Arabidopsis thaliana: one gene and its partners. The protein of the gene in region 3 interacts with the protein of the main gene of each other region in a pairwise test. Each region holds a gene or a part of one and is shown on either strand. Other genes may lie near its edges. The genes, in order: AT5G01380, NAC097 and AT4G37180.

What was found.
Region 1: the proteins of AT4G37180 (region 3) and AT5G01380 interact in a two-hybrid assay, tested with the Arabidopsis thaliana proteins (one large-scale study listed by BioGRID).
Region 2: the proteins of AT4G37180 (region 3) and NAC097 interact in a two-hybrid assay, tested with the Arabidopsis thaliana proteins (one large-scale study listed by BioGRID).

What each region holds. Positions count from the first base shown.
Region 1 is NC_003076.8:155,992-159,751, forward strand, and holds the start of AT5G01380 (Homeodomain-like superfamily protein), read right to left. Parts: upstream 1,611-3,760; 5' UTR 1,461-1,610; coding exon 1,125-1,460; intron 429-1,124; coding exon 1-428. UniProt on the Arabidopsis thaliana protein: Probable transcription factor that binds specifically to the core DNA sequence 5'-GTTAC-3'.
Region 2 is NC_003076.8:20,677,199-20,680,911, forward strand, and holds NAC097 (NAC domain containing protein 97), read left to right. Parts: upstream 1-2,023; 5' UTR 2,024-2,026; coding exon 2,027-2,213; intron 2,214-2,239; exon of another isoform or gene 2,240-2,275; coding exon of another isoform or gene 2,276-2,315; coding exon 2,316-2,587; intron 2,588-2,685; coding exon 2,686-2,808; 3' UTR 2,809-3,076; downstream 3,077-3,713.
Region 3 is NC_003075.7:17,502,433-17,506,192, forward strand, and holds the start of AT4G37180 (Homeodomain-like superfamily protein), read left to right. Parts: upstream 1-2,131; 5' UTR 2,132-2,215; coding exon 2,216-2,441; intron 2,442-2,512; coding exon 2,513-2,694; intron 2,695-2,784; coding exon 2,785-3,100; intron 3,101-3,214; coding exon 3,215-3,291; coding exon of another isoform or gene 3,292-3,348; exon of another isoform or gene 3,349-3,384; coding exon 3,385-3,675; 3' UTR 3,676-3,760.

The DNA of each region.
Region 1 (3,760 bases), on a different chromosome or scaffold from region 3:
TCTATCTCCTTCATCTCCCATGCATCTCTCCATTCCTTTTCCATCTTCACCGTTTGCCTCATAAACTCCTCCAATATATCTTTTAGTGTATTACCCGCAGTTTCAGCTTTCGTACCACTCGCAACGCCTTTTCCTTTTTTTGCACGTTTTCTTGGATTGGTCGAAGTACTAGTAGTAATCACTTCTGTCTCTCTTTTCTGTGTCTCTACTAAAGACAATAATTCCTCGTTGATATCTTGATTTGGTTCGTCAACTTCTTCTTCTTCATCATCAGATGAAAATTGATGATGTTTTCTCTTCGAGGAAGTGCTTGGTTCTGTGGCTTCTGACCACAGCATTCTTTGCATTCTTGCTTCAAAAATCGACTGAATCTCATTGTAGAATGGGAACTGCTGCCTAATAGCATCTGGCTCAGTGGTCTCACACGCCTGTCCCATGAATATTCATTATGTTATATAAACAATTATATGTAAACACGTAATAGTACCGACGCAAAATATTTTAGCTAACCAAGTATCTTAACTCGAAATCATATATCATAGGAAAACAAAAACACATGTTCATCATCTATATCACGTTTCTTTTACCTTAAATAAATGTGTGTATAGACTTTTTCAACTATCTTCATGTGTTCATCAGTAACGGTTCTTATTAAATCTTATGCACCCGTTATATAACGGTAATTATATTTTTATGGCATATTGTGTTACTTACTTACCATGTGATCAACGAACAAAAAGAGAGATATTATGGTATAACGGATCAAAATGTGAACATAGACAATATCATGATGAAAGCTCACCAATAAACGCGTAAAATTCTATTCTATAGCTCGTTACCATTAATGACAGGACAATATCTAAAAAACCTAGGCGATTAGGTTAAGCTCATTAATTGATGTATATATAATGTAGTTCACCTATACATACACCATAAACTAGGTTTCCATTTCAATATGCATAATATCAGTCTAACCACACAAACTAGTGATGAAATACATGATACACATAATTATAGTTTGTATATACTTGTAATCATGATCATACTAAACATTTATAGGTGTATATATCGGGACTATATATAGAGAGAATCATCAATAGGATTCTAAAGAGTTGAAGGGTAACCTTGTATCTAGTGACGAGGTTCTTCCACTTGCTCTTACATTGTTCTGCGCTTCGGACAAAACCCTTGTCGGCCATCTTAGCAGCCACGACTTCCCAAAGAAGCTTATTACGTTTGGTCTCCATGAAAGTTTGATCAAGTTCTTCTCTTATAGCCAAAAGCTCCTTTGTCTCCTCTATGCTCCACTGTGGGATTCTCTCCCCACCTCCTCCTCCTCCGCCGGGATCCATCGTCGCCGTGGTGCTCAGCGGCGGCGGAGGAAGCTGTTGCTGTTGGATCAAGTGATGATGAAGCTGATGGTGGTGGTGGTGATGTTGGAAAGGGTTACGTCGGTCCATTATTTGGAATCGAATTGTCTTTGTGACGTGAAGAGAAGAAATAAGAGGGAGATAATTTTATTTTTTTGTTGGGTTACTTATAAATGAAGAGAGGTTTCATTGAAAAAAAGAAGAGAAGACAGAGAGGAAGGAGAGAAAAGAGAAGAATCTAATTAATTTATAAGGATGTGTGAAAAGAAGGTGTGAAATCGTAGAGGGACGATAGAAGTGTAGTTTTTTGTTCTTTTCTCTAATTAAAATTATTAAGATGAGATTTTTTAATAATTATTGAATATACTAGAACTTATAGAATTATTTAGTTGAATAAAATACGAACACGAATGACTCTTTTGGTGAAAAGGACACAATTCGTGATTACATTAAAAATAATAAAGCTTAGATATCCCTTTTTCGGATGATAAACTCTAGATTTAAAGCAGCTAACTAAATAATTCATACTTTTTTTTTCTTCGTATTCTAGAGTTTAAAAATAGCAATCTCAAACAATTACAGGGGTAACTTGCATCAGTTAAGAATATCTTAAGTAAAAACAATCGCCTTAATCTTAGAGTAAAATCAAACAATATGTTTTTTTTTGACAGATTGATTATTTGTGTGCATCATTCTAAACACGCTTTCAAATTTGTAAAGTTGTAGAACTATATTTTTACTGTATGGTTATTGTTTTTCCTTGATGATGATTTTGTGACCAAGCTCAAGTACTCAACTGTCTCGTATTTTTTGCATTTGGTAGTTATTCGTTAATAATTTGTCCCAATACATATAAATGTTGCGTTAATATTTCGTCACGCTTACGAGTTACGAGTCACAATCCGATTTTTATTCTTCAATCCGATTTAGCCTTTATGGTCAATTGACCCACTAGATTTTCCTCATCCCATAATTCTTGTATTTTTCTTTTGAAAAATTCATCGTAACAAAAGTAACCTAATGGTTGACAGACAAAATATATTAAATAAGCTATTGGATCAATATGCTTTTAGAAGTTTAGATTAGCCCCGTGTCATGGAGGAAGAGATCAGATATAAACAAAGAATTAGAGAATTGTTGTTAGCAAGTTTTACATAATAGATACCTAACGTTCCTATCAAAATAAAAAAGAAGAAGAATTAAGTTACAGAAAACAAGACTACCGTTATGATTAGCTAAGAAATTAATTTGATTGGAATTGTAAATTCCCCCAAGAAAAAAAGAAGACTATTCATTTATGGATTGTATGATATTTAGTATATGAATAAATGGAAATCGTTATATTCGCAGTCGGCACAAAACAAATAATGCGTACGAACAGAGAAAATGTACTCTTGTTCTGAAATGGTTTGGATCCAGTGCAATATACAACTGTCAGATTCCCAAACACACATATGGTAGTACATATTTAGAAGCCGCGTCATTGCAATGATATAACAAGTAAAACGTACGGTGAATGAAACTTGTAGGAGTAAATATTTTTTATTTGTATCTAAAGAAAGATTCGTCGGGGTTGTATTTTTGGCTCTGATATGTGTAAGAAATACTAGTACTACTCAGTAGTAAAAAAAAAAACAAAAAAAAGTCAGCGAAGTGGTCCAAATAGCGATGAAGCGTGTTGAAAGTAAATCAAAATCTTACATGACATGCACTAGACTTCGCTCCCACCTGTCATCCCACGTGGATTCACACCTTATTTATTTATACTAAATTAATAATAATGTCGACTACTCTAGTGAATGATCTTTAATTTTTCTAATTCTTATGTTCAAAATTTGTGGTCTTTAATTATTTAAAAGAGAAATTGTGAATGAAGGAATTTTCTGTGAACAAAAGAAAGAATAATCAGTATTTTTTAATTTTATTTAAATGGAATCAAATAATCAGCAACGCGGAGTGTTGTTATATTCCACGTGTAAACGCCCACCATGTTTGTCCACGTGGCCATCTCTCTCTCTGTCTTTCACTTTTTATTTTAACAAAGATTTTTGTTGGCTGATGTTTATCCGCTCAATACAAGTAGGCCACCTCATCATCCTTTTTATTTCCCATCCAAATTTTTGCTTAAAAGAATTGAAGTCTTAAAGCAAAGAACAAAAAAAAAACGTCAGCCAAAAGCATATATACAAAAATCAGCCTATTCGTGTTATTTAGAACTTTTGAGGTGAATGTTGTTTAGGGTATCGCTCCGGATTATTCGGAAATAGTAATAAGTTTAGTCTTTTACTTTTGCCGTAACTTGGTGAATGCACATGACTTCCATTTTTGAATTTGGAGTCACTGCAACAATACATTGTTGTTACAAATACCAAAAACCTTTCTCACTGTTT
Region 2 (3,713 bases), on a different chromosome or scaffold from region 3:
TTTAAAACTATTTTCTTTTTGCATTGGAGAACCAATCAAAAAATTACGTTCAAGTGTATGTATGGTTAAAAAGAATAATTGAACATGAAGATGGTGCTTGTACCATATCAATATCAACCATCAATTGACAACACTAAGTTATAAAGAAATGAAACTTTTCATTTATGTATGTCGTTGCTTAAGAAATGTCGCTAAATCATCAAAATCTAAAGTAAAAAGAAGATTGAAAACAAACAAATAAAGGAAATGGAAAGCCAACATCTTCGAGGTGAAGAAAAGTACCAAATCCAAAATGCTGCGTGGGAGGAGTAAGACATATGATTCTAAATTGACAAATTTAAAGCTTTTTCTATATCCTTTATGAATATAAAACAAATAGAGCTTTGCCTACTTTCAACACATGAAAATTATATAGAGAAATTTTGGACTAGAATTAAAGCTAGATGTTAACAATTTAAAATATTTATCAAATATAAGCTAGTCATGTTGCATTCGAATTAAGATTCAGCAAAAGAAAGCTGATGAATACTCTCTTCCAAGTTCCAACCAATTAAACTAATCTCGATTCCTTAACAATGAAACAATCATCTTTAATCCATTTCATTTTCTTTTCTTAGTCTTTCGAAAGACAAATTATGTAACCTTTATTTCTAGTGTATAAAACATAACATTATACAAAGAGGACTAAACCTAAAATGCTATTTGTAAAAATCAAAGGCTGATGCTGGAAAGTTGAAGCAAAAAATTGGAACAACTTTGGTTTGGTGGGGGCTTTGGGAGCTTTATTGATCCAAGGAAAAAAAGGAAGGATAAAAGGCAAGTCACCAGTCCAAAGACACACATATATACAATAATTTATCTAAAATAATTGAAATTAAAGAAGTGCATGAGAGTAGAAAATTGAGTCAGACCAACATCTAATAACTTACTCGTTAAGTCAGCTTCTCAAATCTTTAAGTTGGGATCGACTTGGACTCTCTTTCAAATTCACTTTTGTTTTCTGAATATACTTTCTTATATTTTTCTTATTTCTTAATCATTGCTTATGCATATTTACTTAAATTTATTGTTTTAAAAATGTATTGTATCCCGACATTATTATTTCACTTGCCAAATGATAAAGACAAAGAAAATTTTGATTCCTCGATGATATAAGTTTTCCTTTTCCACGTATAAATTTATACCAAGAAATGATTTTACTACAAAATTATAGGTTGAACGTACGTCCAAAACTTTCGCTTATTTATGTACATTCATATCTATAATTCGTATATCATTCCGACATTACTATAAGAAAAAAAAAGGGTCGCATGGATATTTTTACATGGATGATATATACACTAGTCCCTAAACATGTGTAAGGTCCCTAACATAAAGGTTTGTTTTCTTTTTCGGTGTGAAAACATTTCAGATTTGGAATAAACACTGTGGTAATTTTTCGGGTTTAAATCCACTCTAAACACTTACGTGTATTTTTACCTGGGCTAACCGATCGGCTTATGAAAAATAAAATTTCAAATGCATGTTAAAATTAGTTCTGGGCCAATTGTTAGAAATGTGCTCGTTTTAGTTATTGATGTTGAATGTACTTATATGGTAATGAATCAGCGTGGATCTAGGCTTTTGGAACTTAAATCTTGTTTATTTCGTTTTGGTTGAAAAAATAAATAATTACCTTTGCCCAGGAAAACGAAAAAGGAACTAGATTATCTTTACCAAAAAAATAAAGATATTTTTGAATACTCGCTATATTCAAAACCTTAACAACGTTGACTGCATGGGTACATGCACCACAATTTGTTATGATGATCCTCGCATTTAAATAAACAAAAATGAAACCAATCTACGATCTCTGAATTTGCAGTTATCAATTTTTTTTTATCTATTTATCTCTTGAAATTAATAGTAGTACGTAAAAAGTATCTAAAGGAAAAGCAGAATCCGCTTTTGCCAAACTAAAGGTGACACACTCATAAGTATATATAAACAACCTAAACCAAACACAAAGGATACTCATAAGAAAGCAATGGACATTTCTGCGCAGAGATTTGCCATGAACGGAAGAAGCATGAGACTCCCTCCCGGGTTTCGGTTCGATCCCGATGATGAAGATCTTGTGTTCGAGTATCTCGCCAAGAAGGTCCTCCACCGTCCAATGGACTTCGATCTCCCTGAGCTCCGTTCTTGCAATGTTGATCCATGGGACTTGCTAGGTTTGCTACAAACTCTTCTCTCTAATAATTACTATACCATATCACGTCAAATGTATTGAAAAATGTGGTTTAGTGAATGTTGTACGTACACTTTTGTTGTAGGAGAGAAGAACAAGGAAGTGTATTACTTCGTGAAGAAGGAAGAGCGAGAGAGGAAGGGAAGAGAGACGTTATCCGGTTATTGGGAAGAGTGTGAAGAAGAGGAAGTAATGGAGGCTGGTGGTCGTGATTGTATTCATTTAGAAGGAAGGAGAAAGACATTTGCTTTCTTTATTGGAAAAAAACCTCGAGGGACAATAACTCCATGGATCATGTACGAGTTCCGACTTCTTTCCTCTAGAGCTACAAGGTGGTCATCGTCCCCTCTACCTCGGGTGAGTCACTCATTGGACTTTTATCTTTTTCTATAACATATATTTTTGTTGTAAGTAATAGTTTAGAGCTAACTATATCAATGTTTTGGGTTTTAAAGGGTGAGGTAGGAAAATGGAGGGCGGTGAAAGTCGTAGTGAAGGAAGAGAATGATGAAGAGATGGTGGAGGATGAGCACGAGTCTGACGAGTCTGATGGCGAGGAAGTTATTCAAAGCCGGTGACGACCGAGGTTGATGCCATAAATATATGTACTTGGTTTTGTGGTGAATCGTTTGAATTTAGTTACTATTGTTAGGATATTAGGGAACATCTAAATGAAATATATATGCATGATTTGTCTTATTGTCTTCCAAGCCCTTTGGAATGGAATGGAATGTAATTGAGGATGTGGTGAAAGATGCCACAAGTTGCTTTCACTCTCCCGTTTTATTTTGTTCTTGTCCAATTATATATATATATATATTATTAGTGGTCCGTTAGACCAATCCATCCAACATCACATGAGGAGGTCTTCCCACAATATAAATACAACTAGATTTTAATCCGCGATATACCGCGGGACGATTTATTTTTTAAAAGTAATATATATTAAAATTTGCAAATTTTATTTTTATAAAATATTTATATTTTACAGTTTATAATTATTATTAAGTAACGCTATACCACGAATCCATGAGACAATTTTTAAAAAACTGAAGTTGTAACCCCTATTAAAACAGCATATTAATAATATTTTAAAATTTTATAAATATTGATTCAAATACATCCACCATATAATCCAATTCCAAAATAAAACCTGTTGTATAATTTCTTTACCCGTCCCGTGATTTTTTTTTAAAAAAGTAATTTTTAAAATTTAAGAATTATTTTTATATATAAAAGTTTTGCAAATTATATCATTCTCTAATACATTTATATTTTATAGTTTAATTTTATATATAGTAACATTATACATACTACATAATATTTTCGGTTTTATATAATCTTTTCTAAATTAGGATGATTTGATATGTTTAATATTAGTGGTCTTAAAAAATAATAAATTAAATATTTAACCAGTATTGAAACGGTGGATTAATTATATTTTACTTTTTTATTAATGTTGATTCAAAAACCCGTCACTCCA
Region 3 (3,760 bases):
GTGTCGCGAACCCACGATCGAGAATCTAATCAATCAACGGCATCAAAATCTCGACGTCTTTATTACAAACAAAGTCGAGACGTTTCAGTTCCTCCTTGAAAGAAAAAAACGATTCTCATGATAAAGAATCTGGATTAGTTGGACACGTGTCCTGGTATAGTTGGCTAACAGTGAGCCGTTTCTTTTGGTCCGTCCGTTAGATTCCTTGTGGTCTTTATTGTTTATAGGTCCTAGGCATTTTACATGCTACTGTGTTTCGGAATATCTTTTTGTTAGAGGAATCAAATGTTATTTTGAAAAAATTGAATGCTATTTTAAAATTGAAAGAAATTTGTATTTGGCTAGCAGGAAAAAGCATGGAATAAAGTAGCTTTGCGTACTGGGATCTTTTACATTGGATTATGCGAAAGATCCTTTTTTCTCATTTTGCTAGAGAATTCTTGAGTTTTATTTCATATAATAATATTAAGTATAATTCACCTTTTGAACGATATAAGTTTTGATTAGTAAAAAAAATGGATGAGTAGTGGAATAATTTGCAAGAAATAATGGTGCTACATAAGAATGATCAACCTAGTTTCTTGAAAAGAATATCAACACTGAAATGAACAAAAATATTCATAATACGATAACCAAAACCAACTAAACCATGAAAAGGGCACTTATAAACACAAAGGTTACGTGATTTCTTGAAACTAATGCTCACCGTGAATGTAAATGGACGTTGCGTGTGGTAAAAATAAAGAAAAGACAAAGAGATCTTTTGACCACTTCACTCTTTTAAAATCACATACGTATGTGTCGATTTCTAATACAGCTAGTAGCTTGTGTTAGCAAAATTTAGTATAATTTTTTTCCGGGTAAAATGTTTAGTATAATTTTTTAGTAAAATTTAGCAAAATTTAGTATAATTTTTCTATTCGAAAAGATAAACTAAAGCGAATATGTCCTATACTAGTAAAGATTAATTATTTATACGGCTCTACTAATTTAGTCTAGTTATATGATAGTAGTACAAACTGAAGTACGAATTTATGTATCGTACTACTTGCATAAACGTACATGTGGTTTTGCCTATCTAAGAACATCGTTTAATTAAACCCGATTGTATAGTTTGAATGTTTTATCGGTTTTTAAACGAGTGGTTCGAATTCCATGAAACCGAGATTTCAGTATAGCTCTGTGTTTGAGATACAATAACAAATACATGAATCCATAGCCCATAGGCCATACACGGTTATGCCCATTCGGTATTGTTGGTCTAGCAAAGTTATTTCTGACGATGTGCTACATGTACTATGTGGTACATACCTTTTTTATATTCAACATTTAATCTCATATCATGTTGACTATAAATGTATAACTTTCAAGCTCATAACATTTAGGTTATAAAAAGTCAATATTTGTTGTAGTCTAAATCTTCTTTATTTCAAACGTAATTTTTTACTCCAAAAAAGTGTAACTTATCTACTTTTAATTGTTAAAGTAGGAAAATAAAATTTGATTTTTCTTTAAAAAAGTAGAAAATTGTTAATTTTGTACAAATAAATTTGATCTTTCTTAGTTATAGTTTGATTTTGTTAATTCCTTATTTTTAATTTTTTATCCAATAATTGAGTTGCTTTATTTTATTTTTAGTCTTTCAACAGATTCTTTTTATATTATCTTTAATAAATATTTTAGTGGGATATTTCACAGCCTGAACCACTCCATATGCAGAAAATAGTGTTTGTAAAATATTATAGATTCTTCAGAATCCTCTTTTTAAGACTAATTTGGGAAAATATTAAATACAGGATAACAGGAATATGAGAATCTTGAATGAGAAGAGCACTAAAAACAAAATAAATAACAAGTTTCCCAAAACTGAAAATTGTAATATAATTAATAGCCGAATTAAAAGGAAAAAAATCCTTAAAGAAAAATATAAAAAAAGAGAAGAATAAATATATATAAGTGAGTGTAACGATTCGCCGCGTGTGTACGGGCATCACAAAAAGATTCTTTCTTCCATTTAAAGATAAATCTAATTTTAATATTGACAAAAACACCCTCAAGTCTCCACTTATTTACAGCGGCTACGGTTCACCGCGTCCTTCTTCTTCTTCCCTAATCTCATTTTTTTTTTGTTCTCATTTATCTTCTTCAGCATCTTCATCATCTTCTTCTATATATACCTCTTTAAGCTTGCTTCTCTTTGTCTTTATCTTGTCCGATGGTTCAAACAGAAACCGATCAAAGGATGGGTCTTAATCTGAATTTGTCTATCTACTCTTTACCAAAACCCTTATCTCAATTTCTCGATGAAGTGTCGAGGATCAAAGACAATCATTCCAAACTGTCTGAAATCGATGGTTATGTCGGAAAATTAGAGGAAGAAAGGAACAAAATCGATGTTTTTAAACGAGAACTCCCTTTATGCATGCTCTTATTGAACGAAGGTATCTTTTATTAAAATTCTCTCCTTTTCTTTTTTTTATCTTCTCTAATCGATTCGTGTTTTTGTTTAAAGAGATTGTTTTTCTCTGTGTAGCGATTGGGGCGTTGAAGGATGAGGCTAGAAAAGGGTTATCACTGATGGCATCTAATGGGAAATTCGATGATGTTGAAAGGGCAAAACCGGAAACTGATAAGAAGAGCTGGATGAGCTCTGCCCAGTTATGGATCTCGAACCCTAATTCCCAATTCCGATCGGTACGATCAAAAAGCAACCCTTTTTATGTTTTGTGAAGAATCATATGTTGTGTGATTGATCTTGTTGACCTTATGATCATGTTTTGACAGACAAATGAAGAAGAAGAAGATCGGTGTGTGAGTCAGAACCCATTTCAGACATGTAATTACCCTAATCAAGGAGGGGTATTTATGCCATTTAACCGTCCCCCACCTCCTCCACCACCAGCTCCTCTGTCTCTCATGACTCCAACATCAGAGATGATGATGGATTATAGCAGAATTGAGCAGAGTCATCATCATCATCAATTCAATAAACCTTCTTCACAGAGTCATCACATTCAGAAGAAAGAGCAGAGAAGGAGATGGTCACAGGAACTTCACCGTAAATTTGTTGATGCTCTTCATAGGCTTGGAGGGCCACAAGGTTAGTCCTTAACCTTAGTAAAGGATCAAACTTTGCTTTAGATTTGATTGATTGATTATACTGAGATTGTTTTGTATTGTTGTTGTTGTTGTTGTTGTTGTTGTTGTGAGACAGTTGCTACACCAAAGCAGATTAGAGATTTGATGAAAGTTGATGGTTTAACCAATGATGAAGTCAAGAGCCATTTACAAGTAAAAGTTCTCATCTTTTACAGTAACTTAAACTTTGATGTGTGGATGAATGAATGATTTTGACAGTGCGGTGAAATGAAATTGTTATTGCAGAAATATAGAATGCATATCCGTAAGCATCCGCTGCATCCGACAAAGACTTTGTCATCGTCGGATCAGCCAGGTGTGTTAGAGAGAGAATCGCAGAGCTTAATAAGTTTGTCGAGGTCGGATTCGCCACAAAGCCCACTTGTTGCAAGAGGGTTGTTCAGTAGTAATGTTGGTCATAGCTCAGAGGAAGATGAGGAGGAGGAGGATGAAGAGGAGGAGAAGTCTGATGGACGTAGTAGCTGTAGAAATGATGAAACAAAGAAGAAGAGACAAGTGTTGGATCTTGAGCTTTGAAAGTCTGCATAGTGAATGATATAATCTTTACCAACTTATGTTATATATGCTCAAAACTTTGAGTTTGTTCGGGAGTTTTTGTAGA